Linked DNA regions of Arabidopsis thaliana. The protein of the gene in region 2 purifies or fractionates together with the protein of the main gene of each other region. This does not show direct contact. Each region holds a gene or a part of one and is shown on either strand. Other genes may lie near its edges.

Evidence for each region. The genes of interacting proteins can lie anywhere in the genome.
Region 1: the proteins of AT3G57000 (region 2) and MTSSB fractionate together in Arabidopsis thaliana (co-fractionation; one large-scale study listed by BioGRID). This does not show direct contact.

Annotation. Positions count from the first base shown.
Region 1 is NC_003075.7:6,753,974-6,758,154, reverse strand, and holds MTSSB (mitochondrially targeted single-stranded DNA binding protein), read left to right. Parts: upstream 1-1,559; 5' UTR 1,560-1,760; intron 1,761-1,897; 5' UTR 1,898-1,924; coding exon 1,925-1,985; intron 1,986-2,072; coding exon 2,073-2,230; intron 2,231-2,486; coding exon 2,487-2,695; intron 2,696-2,998; coding exon 2,999-3,099; intron 3,100-3,171; coding exon 3,172-3,231; intron 3,232-3,318; coding exon 3,319-3,335; 3' UTR 3,336-3,640; downstream 3,641-4,181. UniProt on the Arabidopsis thaliana protein: Binds to ss-DNA.
Region 2 is NC_003074.8:21,090,383-21,094,834, forward strand, and holds AT3G57000 (nucleolar essential protein-like protein), read left to right. Parts: upstream 1-1,800; 5' UTR 1,801-1,985; intron 1,986-2,211; 5' UTR 2,212-2,227; coding exon 2,228-2,548; intron 2,549-2,631; coding exon 2,632-2,724; intron 2,725-2,807; coding exon 2,808-2,952; intron 2,953-3,048; coding exon 3,049-3,162; intron 3,163-3,258; coding exon 3,259-3,344; intron 3,345-3,485; coding exon 3,486-3,543; intron 3,544-3,647; coding exon 3,648-3,727; 3' UTR 3,728-3,915; downstream 3,916-4,452. Other genes in the region: EDA7 (embryo sac development arrest 7), read right to left, coding at 1-51, 156-224, 339-459, 578-636, 731-821, 887-987, 1,083-1,174, 1,265-1,363 and 1 more.

The DNA.
Region 1 (4,181 bases), on a different chromosome or scaffold from region 2:
ATCCGTTTTCATTACTAAGTCCACGTACCTACGTGTTGTGTAAAGTTAAATACGTTAATGTGACATTGTGATGCATTAGTGTATACTTAAACTATAAACAAATATTTAGAGTCTTAAAAATCTTATCTTATTATATAAAGTATGGTTTTCAAAGTTTCTAACTCATAGGATCGTGTCCACGTGTCAAGTCAAACGATCAGATGTTTACATGTGTCATTTAAAATTTAACTTTTTTATTCTCTTAAAAAAATAGAAAATCTTAAAAAGTAAACAAATTTACATATGCTAATTAAGTTACTAACTCATAGAATCGTGCCACGTGTCAAGTCAAACGATCAGATGTTTACATTTGTCATTCAAAATTTAATTTTTTTATTCTCTTAAAAAAAATAGAATCTTATTATATAAAAATTAAGATACAAAAATTTAACTTTTTTATTCTCTTAAATTCAGCATCTGCTATTTAGGCGGGTCTAAGATACAAAAATTAAGTTTTATCGATAGAAATTTGTATAATAATCAATATATTTTTCTTGATATTTAATTTAATAATTATTGGTTTAAACAAAATTTCAGTCTTATCCATTCTATTTTAATTATACACACTCAATCTTATGAATGATATTTGAATTCTAAAAAGTAACCGATCATCATTCTATATTTAATTTAATATCTAGAAAAGAAAAAGAAAAAATAAATTTATATCTTACACATTCAATTTTGTAATACAGTTTAACTATCTATGTCATCATAATAAACTCGATTTAAATTCTACACACTTCATATTGAATGATAACATTTTCATATCAAAATAATATTTATGACATATCAAATCTATATCCTATTTAGTATTAAAAATAATTAAAAATTAACAAAACATAATTAATAGGCCTAGGCATAATACCCCAACCCTAAGAACCGATCCGAACCCGAACCCAAAATTTTCAAAGACCCGAGCGGTTCTGAACTTCAAAACCCAAAAAACCCGAACCTGAATAGGTATCCAAACATATCTCATATATAAGTATATATTAGTTATATTTATACTTGTATACAGAAAATATTAGGATTTTTTCGGATATTTTAATTATTTTTGTTTATTTTTAGATATATTCAAGCAAAACTACTCGTGTTGTTTTGGAAATATTTTAAAATTTTCAAGTAATTTAATAGATTTGCACACAAAATTTGATATTTTAATATATAAATAAACTCGAACCCTAACCCGACCTGAAATCTTAAATTACCCAAACGGGTCCTAAACTTCTAAACTCAAACCCAAAATAGCCGACCTGAACCTGACTCGAATACCAAAACGCTTAGGGCTAATACTTAATTAAAAAAATAAAAATCCACAAAAATATTTAAAACTAAACATTGTTAAAAATATATTTTTTATATATACGGTAATCTCTTAAGTTAATCTTACATCATACAAATTAATATCAAATGAGTTAAAATTAATAAATGAAAATATTCTCATTAAAAAAAATTGAAAAGTTAAATCCTATACGGGCCATGTCATCTCATTTCATTAATTCGTTAACGAAGGGTAATTTGGTAAGATCACATAGCACAACCTAAGGTTGCCGTCGTCGTCCTCTACCTCCGAAATGTTTCCCGTTCACATCGTTTTCGTTTTGTCCCCAAAACCCTAAAAATCTTCAACGCAGGGTTTAACGAATCAAACCTCAACGACGTCGTTTTACTCTTCTTCTTCTTCCTCTCTGTGTTGCGTTCCCTCTTTCACAAACTCACTGGTAAGCCATTTCCCTCTTACATCGGAATCCTGCTTTCGCATTTCTCAGCTTCGTCGTGATTTAATCGTAATTGGTTCAAATTTGTTGTAAACAACCCTAATTTCGAGGAATCATTTGCAATTCCCTCATTTTTGCAGACATCACATCCTTAGAGTCGTCCCAGAATGAACTCACTCGCCATTAGAGTCTCCAAGGTTCTCAGATCCTCTTCAATATCTCCTTTAGGTAATTCTTCTTTCTTATCACCTAAATCTTCTGCCTTTTTCTCAGAAGACTATCATTTGTTTCTTCTTGTGTTACTTTGATGTGTAGCAATAAGTGCTGAGAGAGGCTCTAAGTCGTGGTTCTCTACTGGTCCTATCGATGAAGGTGTAGAAGAAGATTTTGAAGAAAATGTTACAGAAAGGCCTGAGCTTCAACCTCATGGAGTTGATCCTCGTAAAGGTTGGGGATTTCGCGGTGTTCATAGGGTAAAAAGATTTGATCTTTAACACTTAAAAGTTATGCATTCTTAGCTGAAGAATATCAGAATCAAATTAGGCTTAGCTATAGCAAAAAACCCGATTGAAAAGGAACGGTTTTTATGTATGTGCCTTGAATAAGAGTTTGGAACTAGATTTCGATGATTTGAGTTATCTTGTTGCAATATCATTTCATATACTTATCAGCTTTTCAATGGCGTTCTTGCGGTTTTATGTCATTGTTGGTTTCCTTTGATTCATTCAGGCGATTATTTGTGGGAAAGTAGGGCAAGCACCGTTACAGAAGATCTTAAGGAACGGGCGGACAGTAACGATCTTTACAGTAGGAACAGGTGGGATGTTTGATCAGAGGCTTGTAGGAGCTACTAATCAGCCAAAACCAGCTCAGTGGCATAGAATCGCTGTGCACAACGAAGTGCTTGGCTCTTACGCTGTCCAAAAACTCGCTAAAAAGTAAGTTTTATTATATGCTTAACTATCTTGAACAAAGAAGAGTATTAACAATAGTTTAAGAGTTATAATTTCAGATTAACTAAGTGATAAATCCGTTGGTTAAGATATAATCAGCTCATATGTGTGTGAATGTGTAAAAGTGTACACAGAAACTCTTAAGTTGAATAATATCTTCTACATTATCTGTCTTCAATCTCTCTGTTTCGTCTTTAGTCGCTCTATGTAATGCTGGTAGCAATGTCTAAATAGGAAGTGAAAGGTGTAGGTTTTCATCTAAACTTCTTTGCTGGTGCTTTGTTACAGCTCGTCGGTTTATGTGGAAGGTGATATTGAGACTAGAGTGTATAATGATAGCATCAGCAGTGAAGTGAAGAGTATCCCTGAGATTTGCGTTCGTCGTGATGGTATGTATGTTCATATTGTTGATCCGGAACATCAATTTGTTGCTGAGTTACGATTCTCTTGCTTTGTTTTAGGTAAGATTCGGATGATCAAATATGGTGAAAGCATTAGCAAAATCTCTTTTGATGAGCTAAGTAAGTTATCATTTTTCATTCAGCTAATATTCGCAAAGAAAAAAGAGATAGTTGCTTGTGTTTTAATATTTGTTTCACATTTGGCAGAAGAAGGATTGATTTAGTCGGAGCAAGAATATTCCGGTGACCGGATGAGAGCAAACTGAATAAAACGTTTTTCTGAGTAAAATCGATAAAACAGTTTGGTTTTTTGTTCTGTCCATTGCGACTTTGTGAGCACTGAGTTCCTTTTAATGGATACCAGGGGGCATATTTATGTAGTTTCTGGTCAGAATTATTTGATGTATTGTTCTTCAGTGGATGTTTATATGGCAAAAAATGAGGAAGAACAAAGACGAAAAACAAAAGTGCTCACATTACGAATTGGGCTAAAAGACCCACACAAAATGAGACGAAGTGATATATAAAGACTTGGATTTCAATTTTAATGAGAAATATTTTACTCATCAAAATTGAAAGAAATATTCAGTAATAGCTTAAATGATATGACATTGTTTATTAGATTGTTGATATCTCTGACTCACACTCTAAGAACGATAACAAGGAGATCGCGAACTCTCAGAACATCAGAGCATAATTTCCCCGATAAGAATAGAGTTAGTATTTATAGAAGAAGAGCATTATTATATTGTTTAATACTTATTTACAATTACTTACCTTAGATACAAAAACAAAAATATTTTGTTATCTTTTAAATAAACAAAAAAAGTAGTGCTGATTTAGTATCTTATATTTGCTTTCAACTAATATTTTATAAAATATTAGTATATGAAAACATGAAATAAATTCTAATATCATATTATTCATTTTTTGTACTTTAATAGAATCAATAGTTAAATTAAATTTGTTGATTTTATGATTTTATGTTTATGCATAAGTTTATACAACTTATTCAACTAAATTTAAATAAGTTAATTTATATATGAGATGGATATAGTTTGTAACTAATG
Region 2 (4,452 bases):
GTGATCCTTCACTCTTATGGGAGTTGAAGTACGCAAGTCGTATATGAATACCTGCAGATACCGAACAGCACAATCAACACAACATATCTATATAATCAAATTGACCTACCAATGTTTTAAACCTTTCAGATAAAAAAATGAATATAGCATCAAACCTTTCCCGCGCTACTCCCGACAGCTACTTGAAGACCTTCACTGTCATCAAACTCTATAGCAGTAACCTCCTATTAGCCAATTTAAAGCACAAGATCATCAGAAATCAATGCAATTTTCACCAATCACATGACGTCTAAGCTAAGAAAGTCTGTTTATTTGGAACACAAGTTAGAAAAAATTACCGCAGCAGCATCACCACCATGTGTGACCGCGTTAATTCTAGCAGCAGATGATTTCATTCTCATATCAAAAAATTCCACAGCACCATCCTCACCACCACAAGCAACTAATCCATGGAGGTTGCTGGAAAGAAAATAGTGCTCAAATGTAAGCAATAATAATCTAGAGTACCAGAATCGAATTTTCTCCTAGATGAAATCAAGAAACATAATAGAAAGAAAAGACAGTTCGGTATACAGACCTTCGAGAAACGACATTAAGCGCTGGGGATTGAGTGCTGAGAGGAGAAAGAAATCTTCCCTAAACAGAAAGAAGGCAAAAAACACAAATCATTCTCTAACAAAGACTGAGATAGGTCACAACACTAAACTATTATAAATTCACTGGAAAGTACCTGCTCCAAATTGATTCTATATAGATCAGGTGAGGAAGCAGCGCAAAGAAGATCACAAGACCAGGAATCATATGTCATATCTCTCCCCATCCTGCAAATATGTGAATGCTTTAGACCACGAAAGATATATCTCATAGACCAACAAAGCTAAAGTACCTTGGAATTCGTAAAGTGTGGTGTTTCCCGTATTTGGCGTGTAAATTAATAGAACGATCAGCACATAAGAAGGCAAGCTTTGAGAAGTCATCATCCAATATCTGTAGAGCCAACAAAACACAATACTAAAAAACCAGAAACAAGATAGTTACTATCAATGGTGTTAAGACACATCTCATGGAGCAATAAAAGGTACCTCGAAATCAACTATTTCCGAGTCCAAATGCCTCTCAAACTTCAAAGCAAGCTGATTTAGCTCATAAACTTTTACCTGTGGTGGATATATGCCTAATTCAACAAAAACGAAATCAGTGAAAAGTCACAAGAGAACATTATTTCTTGTCAATAGCATCGAAGTTACAAAGAAAGAAAACGCACCTGAAGCAATCAGATACTCTCCGTCTGGAGTCGCTTTGATTCTAGTAGTGGCAGTCTCAAACTTCAACTCCTGAATCAGCTCCACTCTTTGCATATAATCTTACATCGAAGACAGAAAAAAAGGACGAGCCTTTAAGAGACAGGGTTTATGAAGGGGTTAACGATTCAGAGCTGAGACAGAAACAAGAGGTGAAACTTACGAGGGTTTTTGCGGAGAGCTCGTTGCTTCTTAGGATTAAGCCAAGTAGGAACATTGGGAGCAGAAGAAACATTGTATAACTTAACTCCATTAATGGAGGTCGACTTCAGTCTATCTCCATAAGACGTCATCTTCAAGCAGTTAAGAACAGGAACCCCTAATTCTTCTACCCTTGACGGCGAGTTGCAGAGAAAACGCAAAAATTGAAGCCAAAAATAAAAATGAAAAGAAACACCACTTGTAATACATAAGGCGGTCGTGCTCTCCGGCAGAACAAAAGTCGACGTCGATGGTCACAATTCTAGGTTTCTTGGTCTCTTTTTCTTTTTCTGGGCCTTTTAAAAACCCTAAAACTTAATGGGCCTATTTTACTACAATAAGCCCTTAAACGATTATATAATCTGTGTGAAACAATACAAAAAACAAAAAATAAAAAAACGCCTACCTTTAACTTCGAATTAGGGTTTATCAGGATTCAGTCGCCTGCTCACTTGAATTTCTTCGCAAGCTCAAAAAGTTCCGGTAAGCGATTATTTTCTCTTTTAGCTGTCTTTCATAAAAGGGTTCGATTTAATTTCGAATTTAAGCTCTACTGAACTGTGATTGATTGAGTTGATTCTCTGTAGTAGCGATAACCTTAAAGAAATTTGATTAGTTTTTGTATGAATTCATCGACACTGTAGTATATTTCTTTAGCATCTGATTCTTTAGCTCTGTGGTGTTGTGATTGACTTAAATTTGTGTGTAGAAATTTTTGAAGGAAGATGGTGAGGCCGTATGGGATTAAAGTGAACAAGAGAAAGGAGAGAGAAGAGAGGTATGATAAGGAAGAAGATGAAGTAGAGGAGCAACCAAAGTTTGAGCAAAAACAAAAGGCAAGAGAAAGTTCGAAGAAAGCTAAAAAAGAAAGCACTTCAAGAGCAGAGGAAGATAATGACGAGGAGGAAGTAACTGTGGAAGCAACTGCAGCAGCAGAGGATATTGTGGGAGGGATACCTATTGTCCTTAATGCTCCTAACAAGGAAAAGTCTGGCATTGTATTCGTGCTTGAGAAGGCCTCTCTTGAAGTTGCCAAAGTTGGAAAGGTAATCTGCAGGAATGTTTGCATTACAGTAAGCCTCGGAGTTTGTTTATGGTACTAATATATGTGATTACTGATTGTGTGCAGACTTACCAGCTACTGAACTCGGATGATCATGCTAATTTCTTGAAAAAGAATAACAGAAATCCGGCTGATTACCGACCAGACATTACTCATCAGGTCAGGGTCTTAAAAACTGTTATGTCATATCTAGGTAGCTTATAACAAATTGTGACTCATCTTTAGTGGATCTCCCTCTTCAGGCGCTTCTTATGATTTTGGATAGTCCGGTTAATAAAGCTGGGAGGTTGAAAGCTGTTTATGTTAGAACAGAAAAAGGTGTCCTTTTTGAAGTTAAGCCACATGTTCGTATACCAAGAACTTTCAAACGATTTGCCGGAATCATGTGTTAGTTGTCCAACTTTCCTCTCATCCTTTCTGATATTTTGTTACTTTAACCTCCTCAGTTTTTACTGTCTCTTATCCTATTTGTTGGTCTTGCAGTGCAACTGCTACAAAAGCTGAGCATTACTGCAGTTAACAGCCGTGAGAAGCTTCTACGGTGTGTCAAGAACCCTATCGAAGAACATCATCTACCGGTTAACTCCCACAGAATAGGTAAAAACAAAAAAAAAACTTTAGTTTCCTCCTACATTTTGTTGTTTATCCAGATTATGTGAGCTAAAAAGAGGGATTGTCTCTTTCTTATATCAGGCTTCTCGCATAGCTCTGAGAAACTCGTCAATATGCAGAAACACCTAGCTACTGTATGTGATGATGATAGAGACACAGTTTTTGTGGTTAGTGCTCTCCAAATGTTTCTCTCTAGTCTCTAGCTTCTTCACAAAGTCCATTTAATTTACGTAGTAATAGGCTTTAGCTTGCAACCTCCATATATCGGTCTTATGCAAACCCACACCTTATTTGTCTCACCATTTCAGGTAGGCGCAATGGCACACGGGAAAATAGACTGCAACTATATCGATGAATTTGTGTCGGGTAAATCTTCTTCCTTCATTCATACTTTTGTTAAGGGAAAACAAAAAAAAAGTTTTTAAATGAAGGAAACAAAAAATCTGAAAGAAGTTTCTTGATTTATGCAGTTTCAGAGTATCCATTGAGCGCAGCCTACTGTATCTCAAGAATCTGCGAGGCATTAGCAACAAATTGGAATATTATATAAAAGAATGATTATAAGGTCCTTTGTTTTCCTCTCTACTGCTCTAATGGTAGGAACTACTTTAAGCTATGTTGTTGTGATACACATTGTTTATCTACTATCGAGTTTATAACTTTTCGTTTGAAATTTTGACTCCACTATTTTATTCAAACGTAATATAAAGTAAAAGAAAGAGATGTTCCTGTGATTAAGAATCAAAAAATATACTTAGGTAGTAGGGGAACTACCTTAAATTATCTGTAAAAAATATTTTGAGTGTAAAATATGACTATAGCAGAACCAAAAAAAACTGTATATTTTCGTTTATTTCTCTCTACGAAAAATTTGATTTCCACTTGAACCTCGAAAACAACCAAAATTAGCTCTTGACCCTCGCTCAATCTCACGGCCATGCCGTCCTATTTGTACTTGGACCAGAAGAATTGGATCTTGGTCCAGTCCACGGACAAGGTAGGTAATCACAGTTTCGGCTTAAACGACGCCGTTTGTGAAAAGATTTCGTTGGAAGTCCTCACTTATTTACTTTGTACTTTAACAGCTTGTCAATCAGATATTCTTGTAAAATAATTATTAATCATTTTGATTTTGATTTGAAGTCCAAATAATTGCCAAATTGAATTAAACGAGAAAATAATTAAACTGTTACACTTTAAATTAAAAACAATTCAGTTGATACGTTTTTTAGTTCTCTTTCTGTTTTTAAGAAATCTTTGGTTTTCTTAACTGTA